3 linked regions of the Canis lupus familiaris genome follow. The protein of the gene in region 2 purifies or fractionates together with the protein of the main gene of each other region. This does not show direct contact. Links are inferred from orthologs where the notes say so. Each region holds a gene or a part of one and is shown on either strand. Other genes may lie near its edges.

What was found.
Region 1: the proteins of SMNDC1 (region 2) and SF3B2 purify together in Homo sapiens (affinity purification with mass spectrometry; 3 studies listed by BioGRID and IntAct, with this or other methods). This does not show direct contact. The link is inferred for Canis lupus familiaris from reciprocal best matches to the Homo sapiens genes SMNDC1 and SF3B2.
Region 3: the proteins of SMNDC1 (region 2) and SF3A1 purify together in Homo sapiens (affinity purification with mass spectrometry; 3 studies listed by BioGRID and IntAct, with this or other methods). This does not show direct contact. The link is inferred for Canis lupus familiaris from reciprocal best matches to the Homo sapiens genes SMNDC1 and SF3A1.

What each region holds. Positions count from the first base shown.
Region 1 is NC_049239.1:51,712,436-51,716,470, forward strand, and holds the start of SF3B2 (splicing factor 3B subunit 2), read right to left. Parts: upstream 2,566-4,035; 5' UTR 2,520-2,565; coding exon 2,387-2,519; intron 2,208-2,386; coding exon 2,161-2,207; intron 1,884-2,160; coding exon 1,806-1,883; intron 1,080-1,805; coding exon 831-1,079; intron 615-830; coding exon 564-614; intron 1-563. UniProt on the Homo sapiens protein: Component of the 17S U2 SnRNP complex of the spliceosome, a large ribonucleoprotein complex that removes introns from transcribed pre-mRNAs.
Region 2 is NC_049249.1:21,895,025-21,899,059, forward strand, and holds the start of SMNDC1 (survival of motor neuron-related-splicing factor 30), read right to left. Parts: upstream 2,600-4,035; 5' UTR 2,363-2,599; coding exon 2,354-2,362; intron 1,684-2,353; exon of another isoform or gene 1,678-1,683; coding exon 1,558-1,677; intron 1-1,557. UniProt on the Homo sapiens protein: Involved in spliceosome assembly.
Region 3 is NC_049247.1:23,899,475-23,903,409, forward strand, and holds part of SF3A1 (splicing factor 3A subunit 1), read right to left. Parts: intron 2,841-3,935; coding exon 2,766-2,840; intron 2,036-2,765; coding exon 1,885-2,035; intron 1,564-1,884; coding exon 1,370-1,563; intron 484-1,369; coding exon 366-483; intron 86-365; coding exon 1-85. UniProt on the Homo sapiens protein: Component of the 17S U2 SnRNP complex of the spliceosome, a large ribonucleoprotein complex that removes introns from transcribed pre-mRNAs.

The sequences.
Region 1 (4,035 bases), on a different chromosome or scaffold from region 2:
AAAAAAAAGATCTAACACATTCTAGGCAAAATCAGCACTTCATAATTTCATATCTATTCCTGTTAATGCTTACTTTCAATATCTCCAGTAATGCAGCAGGGAACAACTGATAGAGTGCACCTCTGGGACTGCATGTCTCATGTATTATTCTCTAACTACCTCTATCACATTTAGTCTAAATCCCACACAATTGACTAATCCAGAGTCCTCTCATAGGTATCTAAAATCATATAAGACTAATACGAATTATCAGACTTTTTCAGTAATGGGCTAAACAACAGATATCTTAGACTTTATGGGCCATTGCAAGGGTTGCAGTATGTTCTTGGTTTGCCAATTTTTTTTTTCCTAACAATCCTCCAAAGTTAGAAACACCATTCTTAACTTGCAGGCCATACAAAATCAGGTCACAGTCTGTAGTTTACCAATCTGGGCTCCAGAAAAGATGGGATTATCTGGGAGATACTGGAACTTAAGGATGAGGTAACCTCCATGGAAAACTTGAATGGAGCATCTTGTTTTGGACACTAGTACTAGAAGTGACAGCCAATGGAGGGAATTACCCGCTTCTGCTGCTCCAAAAGCTCATGTTCCTTCAGTGAATGATCTCCCTGCTTAAAAAAGAAAACAAACTCACATCAGCACCACTACCCCTCAGGCCAGGCTGCCACAACACTGCTTCTGGGGGTCCTCTTTCAGCCTGGGGTCTATGTTCCAGTCGTTGGTCCAGACTTCCCAGAAGGCTTGGCCCCAGGATCCAGCTTTCTCTAAGGCTTCAATCCTCTTTAGGACCCTGATGAGACCTATGCCCAACCTGCCACCTCCCCTACCTGTTTGGCACGCTCCTCTTGCTGCATCAGCAATGCTGCCTGTTGCTGCGCCAGCTTCAGCCGCTCCTCCTCTGACAGAGCCACAGGCTCACCCACGCGGAGAGGAGGAGGTGGCCCCAAGTTTGGTGGGCGGGGACCAACTGCCATAGGAAAGCCAAGGCCAAGGCCTGGTGGAGGTGGTGGGGGTGGTGGAGGTGGTTGCAGAGGGGGGAGTCCCATGGGTGGTGGTGGCATGGGAATCCCAGAAAGCTGTGGAAAAAAAGTCAACATACACTAGGAACCGTTTATCTACTGCAGACATTTGCAGGTACTATGAGCCAGGTACTAAAATTCAAAGTCAAGTGACAATTCCTGCATTCAAAAAAATATAATACCGATAGAAGAGAATACTAACTTTGGGGTACCAACCAAGGAAAGCTATTGACTCTCTCCCCAGAAAACCATGAACACAGATTGTGCATACAATTTCAGGAAATCCAAGGACACCTCTAATGGCCACCTGGGAACTCCTCCTCCCACCCACAGAAGTCAATAGATCCCAGATCAGAGTCTTGTCCTAGAGAAAAATTCAAATCCTGGCTCAGAAAGGAAATGGAAGTTAAGAAGACTTAAATAAACTGGAGCCAGTGTGTCCCAATGGCTCACTAAATATAAAAGGTATGAAATAAAATAAGAGAGTGAGCCATAATGTCTCACTGAACAAAATGAGAACTGTGCCTGGTAAGGCAAAAAAGAGCTATTTCCAGCTGAAGGAGAATCAAGTCAGGCTTCTAAATTACTTAAGCTAAACCTTAAATGACAGGTAGTATTTGGAGAAGCAGACACTGGGTAAGGAGGTAAGGATCAGGACTAAAGGGGAACTGAAGAGCTCCCATTTCTCCCTGTCCAATCTGTTAGTGGCATCCCCAAAACACTGACTGTGAGAGGAGCTGCCCTGAACAGAAGTCATCTTATAAAGTAGAACCACCTCCTTACCTGTGCGGACATGGGAGGGGGAGCAGCTTTGTCCCCATCTTCACCTCTCAGAACTGGGCGATTCAGCACGATGCCTGTCTGCAAAAGAGAAAGGACTCCAGGTCAGTCCAAGAGGAGCTGTTCCACAAAACGTCATTGCTCCCATTCATTCAACAAAATTTACCAACTGCCCATTTGCCAGAGCTTGCGCTAGGCACTGCAGAAGACCTATATATACAGAAATGTTTACAACTGGTCAGGTAATGTAAAAAAACAAGCAGAAACAGCAAGGTACATAAAAAGCTAAGACCGAGTCCTGAGGGCTCATTGAGGCCTTCAGAAACTCGGCCTATCCTGACGTCCCGCCAACACTTACCTGGCGCGTGTAGGTCTGCAGCCGCTCCACCAGCTCCTCGCGACTCCCTGATGGGCAAAGCACAAGATCAACGGGGTAAGTCAGGCCGAGCAGGCCTGCGGGACCAAGCCAGGCCCCAGCGGTCCGCCTCCGCCCCTCCCTCCGCCCCCCGGGTCTCCGGGGTAACCAGGCTCCGCTTCTCCCTGGGCCTACGCTGCCCCGGCCCTTGACCTCCCGAGCTCCTCACCCTGGATCGGAGCTCCAATCTCCGCCAATTTGGCCTGAAGCTCCTGGGCAGCCCAAGCGCCATAGTGACCGGGAGGTGGCGGCGGCGGCAGCTGCAACTCTCCTTTGGGAGGCTCGGGATGCTCGGCCGCCATCTTAGCCGCAGGAAGGCGCGCGACCAACGCGGAAGTCCGGACCGGACCTGGGGCCCACTTGCCGGAACTTCCGGCAGCGCCGTACGCCACGTCCGCTGGAGGATTGGCAGGCGGTTCACATTGCGGCCCAGACCCTGCGGATCTCCAAGCGTCCCCAGGATGCCAGGCCGCGAAGCCTTCTGGGAGTTGTAGTACGCAGGTCCCGTTCTCTGCGGGTCCGGCTCCCGGAGCACAGTGCCGGGCTGAAGCACCGGCAACACTGGAGGCTGGAGCAGGGGCGGGGCTGCGGGGCAAGATGGTCCCGCCAGAAAGGCGTCCTTTCTGCGTCTGCCTCGCCGGAGCGCAGATCTCCAGCCTTCCGACCAGACTTTCAGCTCAGGCGTGAGAGGCCCGGACGCTTTCGTTCCTCAGGGAGGCCTGAAGGACTCATTCTGCCAGCGGCCGCGCGTTGTGGGCGCCAAGCGGGAGGTTGCAGCCGATGCCTGTGATAAAACAGTATCTGATTGTCTGCCCGCCCACCCCCGGCCCACGCATGGATGAATGGGCTGAAAGAGGATCGGAGCCAGGAGGGGAGCGGGCTGAGCTCCAGCTGCCGACCTGGGGGGAAGGGCCACACTAAAGCCCCTTTTTCCACCTATCAGGCCGGCTCAGATGTCTCCGCTAGCCTTTCTCCCGCTTTCCTTTCCTTCCTTGGAGTTCCCGTAACACGTACAAACATCTACCATTTGTTTTAAACTCTTTCTTGCCCCTTTGCCCCACCTCCCCAAGAACGTGCACAGGGGACCTGGTCTTTTTACTGTCCGGCAGCACCTGGCGTTCAAGAGGCGCTCAGTAATGATTAATGGGGAAAACAAACGAAACGATCTTTCGGGCGACAGGATGCATCTTTTTTAGTCCCAAAAATGAGCTCAGGACTTTTTCTCCCCTTATCCCCACCAGCCTACTGGCAGAGTCGACGCTGCCTTCCTTGCCCCAACAGCACCAGCAGCACCAGCAACCGCCTGTGCACCTGAGGGAGGGATGAGCAGATGTTCCCTGCTTGTGTAGCTTCCATCTCTCTCTATCCTGACCCATCAATTCAGTTTCTCTTCCCATCTCTGCCACTAGCTCTGAGATCCTCTTCCCATTCTAGCCCTGTCCTCTCACTGGCAGGCTCATTGCCTCTGTGTGTGTGTGTGTGTGTGTGTGTGTGTGTGTGTTGAGTGAGAGCTGGGAAATTCAAGTAAAGTGGTCTCATTTTCCTGACACCCACACACACACACACACACCCTTCATATCTTCTTTCTAGCATGCTCCATTTCACTGACTGCCTTCCAAAGAGAAGTAGCTGAGAGCACGGGAAAAATAATGGGATGCCAGGTCCAGGATAGATATGTTTATGAGAAACAAAAACAGACTGGGCCAGGAAGGTTGCTCACATCATAATCCTAAATAGGAAATTCTTTCCTCTTGCCCAAGCCTGCTTCCTCTTTCCATCACCACCACCATCTGAGTCTCCTGACACTCCCAAAGGAGA
Region 2 (4,035 bases):
TTAAATATTAGAAATATTTTAAAAAACCCACTTCACAATAATATTGTTTAATCTTTATTCCTAAATTCCCCTCCACCAGTTCCACACATATCCCTCTTCCAACAACTGCCCAGGAAGCAAAATACACAATATCAACAATGTTTTATTTTCTTCAAAGAAAAAAAAAGGACCACTTTTAAGCTGGTAAGTGATACATTCCAGGATCTCTCTTTGAGGTAGGCAGAACGTTGCCCTGGAAGTGGGAGAAACTGCTCCCAAAACATCTTTTGTATTGACTAGCACTCTCACATTCACTGGCCTGACTTCTAAATACTGAAGAGGGATCCTGTTTTCTGTGTTTTTAAAAACTATATATTACTGCAACCTTAGGCATGTTTATCCTAAATCCATAATTTGAACCTAAAAATTTTCAACTCATTTTAATTATGCCCAGATAAACTTTTTCAAAGTCCTGTATTTGGACCCCATTTCAAAGAAGTTTCATTTATTTTCAGTTCTGATATCCCTAAAATATTCATTTTAATGGGCAAGAGAATGATAAAAGGAGGAAAAGGATTTAGATAGGATAAAGATGATTCTAGTTTTGTACTGAATCAGTAAAGGAAGATCATCTAGTAAAAAAACATCTTTTAAAACTTTCAAAAAAAAAATCAGGTTCAAAATTTTATTCTCAAATTTTTAAAAATAAAGTTCTATACATATGCATGTGTATATATACACACATAGGATTTTCACTAATCAACCTAATGTTCTGAGAAACAATAGATATTTACTATAATGATTTTCATTTTGTCTTGAAACCCCAGTGCAGGTTTTCAAAAGCCAAGTTTTATTCCTACTGAACTTTCCCATGACAGACAAAACAGATCTTTCCACATCCACTCAATTTCAACAAGTATCAACAACTACACTGTAAAATCTAGCCTTAAATTCAAACATTATGTAACATTTATGCAGAAACCAAGTATCTCTTTAGATATTCTTATGTTTTCAATACAAGTTGTTTACCTGCTAGCTTTGAAACACACACACACATTCTCATTTCTGTTTCAAAGAATCTTGTAACATTAAAAAAAATCTTAATCAGGTTACATTTTTCTCATTGTTTTTTATCATTTATAAAACGCTTCCACATTCTTTTAATTCCAGTATAGTTAACATTTTTTAAATTCCTCATATTTTTCTTTTAGTTACCTTTTGAACTAAATTTCCTTTGCCAGATCTTTAAAAATAAAAGCATTTTCTACTGTAAAGTTAAATGTACCTCTTCTCTAAAAGGTTTGACAAAATTCTAAAACCAACTCTTTTAAGTTAAATCAACACACAAGATTTACATAACAGAACAACGCTTTACTCATTTTGAGGTCTGTAACAGAGGAAGCAACCCTACTTCTATGAGCCATAAATGCCTATGTACATACACACATGTACACACAAGGGAGAGTAGGAGAGGAAATATCCCCCTCCAAATGGTGCTTTGGATTCTAAGTAATAAGATCATTTGAAAAAGAATAGTTTTTCCAAGCAATGTAACTATTAGTGTCCTCTTATACTTACCTGTAAGTCTTTCTTTAATTTTAGCAAATCTTCATTTTCTCCATTTCCAGACAATGCAGCTTCAACTTGCTGGAGTTGAGCTTTGTAGCTTGCCAACTGCTTTGCTAGATCTTCTGACATCTGGGGAAAATAAAAGAGTAAGATCATGAAAACTGAACCAAAAGCACCATAAAAAAAAAATAATAATTTCCCTGTCTGCCTGCCTTCATCCTTACCAGTTTTGCTCCTCAATGTAATTCATTGTTGCAGCTTAACTTATTACCATTACCTTTACTCTTAATTATGAGAAGAGCTGGGAGTCAAACCCAAGCTTCAGGGCAATGGATTCCACAGTTTATAAACACGTCCAATAAATTCCACACAGAAACAGAAAACAAGAGCTAAGACAAAAGGGAGAAGGATAATTTCCAATTTTCTTTAAACTTCTGTAACAGGGAGGACACTCTATTTGGCTCTTTTATGTTTGTTTGTTTGGTGTTACAGCTTTACCAAAAAAAAAAAAAAAAAAAGAAAAAGAAAAGAAAAAAAAAAGCACTAATCTGTTGAAGAGTGGAGACTTGATAAAGTGTTTTTAAGCACTCAATACTACATCCAAAACAAAACAGAAATGGCTTTTGGATTAACTACATAAATAATACTCCCTCCGTGAGATAGGAGTGTGTTTAGAACCTCTCTCCAGAGCAAAAAAATGTTTCACCCGGTCACTTAAATATCGCCGATGCAGCTCCTTCACTAAAGAAACGGCACGAACACGGTCCCGCTTAGGCTTTCTAAGGAGCGTGCCTTTTTCACCCACCGGGCTCATTCTCCTCCGGAAAATACGACACGAGAATCCCTTCTCGGTGCATAAAGCAATCACGCGGGGTTTCCGAGGACCCTTGCCTTCCAGTTCCCGTCCAGCACAGCCTGGAATCTGGAAGGGCTCCAAAGGGGCGAGAGCAAGCCCGCCACAACCGCTCGAGGACTTCAGACCTCCAAATCCAAACACAAGCTCCAGGGAAACCGAAAACACAACCGGAGCGGCCCCCGGCGGCGCCGGAGCCTCCTACCCGCAAGGCGCCCCGCAGGAAGGCTGAGGGCGTCCTCCGGAGGCCTCCCGCGTCCCCACCCCACCCGACCGGCTCCCCGCTTGGCCCCCGTCGCCGCCGCCGCACGCAGCTCCCAGCCCGGCCCAGCCCGGCCCAACCCCGGGTGGGAGGGGGGCCGGGCCCCTGGGATTCTAGCCGGCTGCCCAAGCCTCTCCGGCGCGGCCCGCCCGCTCCCCGGCCTCAGGCCTCTGCTCCGACCCGAGGCCCAGGCCCGGCGAGGCCCTGCTCTCTTCCCTCATCGGCTTCGTTACCTTGGGTGGGGCTGGGGGCAGGGCGCAGGAGAGGGTCGGGGCAAAGGAGCCCAGTGGTGGTGGCGGCGGCGACGGCGGCGGCAGCAGCAGGAAAAAAAAAAAAAATCTCCGCGGCAACAACAAGGCGACTCGGTCTGAAAAGGAAGAACTTGGTCAGCGACGAGGGGGAGGGGAAAAAGCCGGGCACTAGAAGGAGGAAAAGACAGAACGGATCAAGCCTCGCGAGAGGTTAAAAGCCTCGCGAGACGTCACCTCCTCACGTGATTCCCAGCTTTCTCTGCGCCGCCCACCTTTACTCGCGTTAGAGACGCGGAGTGGGCGGAGCTTCGCAGAAAGGAAATGGCGTAGCTTGGCTGCGCCAGGCGCCGGATGTAGGTTTGTCTCATCCTAATTTCTGCTGCGCGTGCAGAGTCCTTGGCTTATTTAGGAGTAGGTACCGGTGCGCCCTTCCTGAAGTTCCCGAGAGGATAATCGCGTGTGCCTTCTTAGACGAGTGGTGCTGGGAGGTGGGAGGGACGGAGTTTAGCGCAGCGTGCATGGTGGCGGTTGGGTCGCAAAGTGTGGTCCCCGCAACCTCCGCATCGTGTCTGGTAACTTATTACGAGCGCGGAGTCTCAGCGCCCGCCCCAGACTTCCTGAATTAGAAATCCGAGGGGTCTCAGCAGCCTGTTTTAACAAGCGCTCCAGGTGATACCAGCGTCCGCTCAAGCCTCAGAGCCATCGCATTATATGATAATAAGGCTCAGTAACAACAAAAAGCTAATTAAGTTGTGGCAGGACCTATTGGAGAGAAGGTTGATTGATTTAAAACCTATTTTGTTTGAACTGACTTGCTTTTAATAGATTACATAGGGGGACGCAAGGGTGGCTCAGCGGCTGGGCGTCTGCCTTCAGCCCAGGGCGTGATCCTGGAGTCCCGGGATCGAGTCCCGCGTCGGGCTCCCGGTGCATGGAGCCTGCTTCTCCCTCTGCCTGTGTCTCTGCCTCTCTCTCTCTCTCTGTCTCTTGAATGAGTAAATAAATAAATAATGTAGGTTAATCTCGCGGGATAGGGGGCAATCTCCCAAGTTCTTGTCTTTTTTTAATAATAGATTTATTTTTTATTGGTGTTCAATTTGCCAACATACAGAATAACACCC
Region 3 (3,935 bases), on a different chromosome or scaffold from region 2:
ATTTTGCTGGCAGGGATCTTCTCCCCCGTGATAGGAGACACAAGATATTCATCTGGAGCAGGAGCTGGAGGCAGGGGCTTGGAAGCTAAAAGGAAACAGAGATGCCTGAATGAGAACACTGGAAAGTAGTCAGGGTCAAGACTGTTGTTTCATTTACACATCACTCATCTGAGACACATCCATTTAGTGCCATGCTATACCTGGTACTGTGCAAGGCACTTCGGCACCAGAGATGACTCAGCTCTGTTCCCCACCGCTAGGCCTGCGAAGGATGGGTTATCAATGCCTTCGAGACAAGCCACCTCACTCTCTCCTAGAAACAGATAGCTCTGGGGAACGTTTGAAGGCAGGAATGCAGGCCCTACCTTTGGGGTCATAGTCCTTCCGAACAATGACCTGGTCTGGAGTTGGGGGCAGAGGAGGCGGCATCGGTGTCTCTGGGGGTGGGGGCACTTTCTGCCCTTCTTCTTCATCATCTGAACCCTGAAAAGCAAAGCAATGGTAGGACTCAGAGAATGGCTGACAGGCCACCTCCCTGAAGCTAAGCCCTGATGGCTCTCAGGGTGGCAAGGAACTTAGGTCTTTGCCAGCCAGCATCTATGTGCTAAGCCTCTGGGGGCAGCCGAGGCCAGCCGGCAGCTGGCCAAGCTGTTTCCTCACAACATGAATGGGAGTGCTGGGGGCCGTGGTGCTAACACTCCGCCCAGGCATTTCCAGCAGCTGGCACCAGGCAGTCCCAGGAGACCAAGGGCACTTAAACATGCTGGGGAGGGAGGGTGCGGGGGGCAAGTCAGTGCTCAATGGTAGCTACTCATGGAGCAATGCTGGGAGGGAGAGAAAAAGTTAATTCCCACAGACACAGGGGCCTTTCTTCTCACACACAATTTCTTTCCAAGAGGAGGAGAGCAGCTTGGCTCCGGAGACTCTATGCCTGCCTGGGGCGGGAGGGGGGGTAGGGGTGGTAGAGGCGGCCGAAAAGAAGCACAGTCTACACTGAGAAAAGCTCTGGGAACCACTAATCATCTGGGCCTAGGCTCAAATGCATCAAAGCATGTGGCAAAAAGTGTTCCCTTACTGAGAGCTGGCATGGGGGCAGGGGAGAATAGGGCCTCTGGGCCAAGGGGGGAAGGTCACAGAACAGAGCCAGCACAGCTTTTAGATCCTTGCCTGTGAATGAATCTTTGTTGCCAGAGCTAGAAAGAGGCTCTATGCTGCCTGGGTTTGGGCAGCTGCTCAGCTGGGATCCCTTTTCGGGACCCATGCCTCCTTTCAAGGTTCATAAGGGAGCTGGATCTGACTTGTGGAAAGCACCATCTCCTTAAGCTCCAGAGGGAAAGGCCAGCTTGCAGGACCTCCCAGGAGCATATACCTCATCCATATCTTGCACTTGAGTATCCTGGTCCAACTGGGAAGGAGGCTCCTCTGCCTTCTCCTGTTTCTCATCCTCTTCATCAGACTCGACCTCCATTTCAACCTCTTCACTTTCCCCAAACTTCTCATAGCGCTCCTGAATGAGGATTCGGGCCCCCAGCTCCTCCGGGGTGGTGGGGGGAGGGAAATTCCCTGGTAGAGGGTGATTCAGAGTCAAAGGCAACCTCCACAGACAATCCTTAGCAAAGACCCATCAGTCTGCCCTCCCCACACTGTAAGCTCTCCAAGGGCCCGATTTCTCTCCCAGCTCCAGACGTCCACCCAACATCTGGCACGATGTTTGCTCTATTGGATTTAAGTGGGGGCAATGTGGCAAATTTGAAGGATTCTGATAGCAGAGATGAAACAGACAGATAAAACTCTCTGCGGGACTGTGCTGCTCCCTGGGAAAAGATGTATACCTGAGATGTTCCAGGATGGCTCCTGGCTACTCATCTGGAGTCACAGATCTACCTTGTTCATTGGGTTGGAAGTCCACGGTTTCCACCACCACAAAATCATGCCAGTCGATCTGTGCATAAGCCACCCGTTCCTTCTCCTTTTCCTCCTCTTCCTTCTTCCTCTCTCGCTCCTGGAACTTGGCCCACTCCACCCGGTAACACACCTGAAGAGACAGAAATGGCATGATGCTAAGCTGATCAGGGTCTGCTGCTGATGGGGCGGTCACCTCCAGGCCCTTCACCAAATCCAGCATCTCCTTTGAAACAGGAGGCTGTTCTGTCTACAGGGAGAACTTCCGGAGTAAACGCTGGTATTTGCATTTGGTTTCAGTCAGACCCATAGATTGGAAAGAATAAAAATTCTAAATGTCACAGAAACCTTGTGTCTGGGCCCCAAGGGCAGCCATTTGTTATAACCTCAGTTTTCTGCTTGAGTTGGCAAGGAGGTCTATGCTCACAGAGCAGCAAACTCTGTCCCAGGAAGTGTATGTGACAACACATACCCACAAGAGAAGCAGCAATCTGAGAACCTGAGAAACAAAGGCTTCATGCAGCCACCCAGAACAGGCAGCACCAATATGCCTTCTCTCTCCTTGACTCTGAAAACTTGGGGCAGCAAAAGGCATTTGTCACCAGCAAGCCTATTCAGGAGTTGGCTTCTAATCATCTAATCTAATAATCAGTTGGCTTCTAGTGAGGACAGAAAAGAGGAAGATCCAGTAAAGCTGAGAGAAAGTAGAAAGAGAGCAGAGTCCAGGGTTCTTCAGCCTTTGTGGCCATAAGGCCTTTCTTCCCACCACTCCTGTGCCTGAACTGAATAAGGTCCCACCTCAGAGCCTTATTCCAAGTATGAAACAACCCACACCACCACTAACTAGTTATAATTCAGTTTACCTGGTCCAAAACTTCTCGGGGGTTCTCCGCCTCTTTCTTGAGCTTTGTAAATAAGCCTTTAGGGGGAATCAAGATCTGCAATATGAAGAGTTAAAGCAGGTGTCAGTGCCACACAATACAGGACAAACAAGTGGCCTTCCGGGACCTGTAGAAAGGCACAGGAAAAGTGAGAGGATGGGGTTCCAGGTCCCAATTCCAGCTCCACTTTGCTGTGTGACTTTGGACAAGTTACTTAACCTCTGTAACTTGGCTGCCTTCTATAAATAGTGACACCACCACTTAAAGCTGGCAGAGTCAACTTAAAAAACTGTTGCAAGGATCGGCAGGAAAATAGGCAAAAGCACTGCTCATCACTCAGCATATAGTGTACATGTGCTGGCTGGTCTCAGGGCACAGGGCTGTTCCTACCCTTTTGCACATGCTCCCCTGACAACCCGGACTCCAGACTGCCGCCTACAGACTTCATCTCCTACATTCCGTCCCCTGCTTTCTATTCTCTGTAGTATTTATTACCATCGGACATCCACTGACGTTGCACTTGCTTGTCCCCCTCACTGGAACAGAAACTACACAAAAACAGAGATTTCTATCTTTATTTTTTATTTTTTTTTTTTTGAGATTTCTATCTTTAGTTTACTATTTTATGTCTAGCATTTGAAATAAAGTCTGACAACGAACATATATTTGATGAGACAACGAATGATGGCTTTGTTCAAAACAGCATAAATTCCCAATAGTATTTATTGTCACTAGTAAAGTGGGTTCAGCCCCACTCTATCCTCCCTATACCTCTACCTCATGAATAAATCTATTCCTATGGTCTCCAATGACCAGAGACAGACACCAGTGACCTCAGGTTAAAATGCTAATGTTAATACCCAAATCTTGAAAAAGAAGAACAGGAAAATAACAGAATAAAAAGGAATCTCGAGACCTTCAACCCTGGAAGTAGTACACAAAGGAAAAATAACACAGGGCTTAATTAAAATTGCTCCTGGATAACTAATTACACAAAACCTTTGGCTTTCATGATTGTTGTTTTAGCTATTCCACCACCATTTTTGGATTTGATCATTTTCCAAACACATGCACCTTTATAATCCTTTCTAGTTACATAAAGTGAACTAAGAGTAAACCATTACAAATCTTTTCAAGTCAGATCTTTAACGT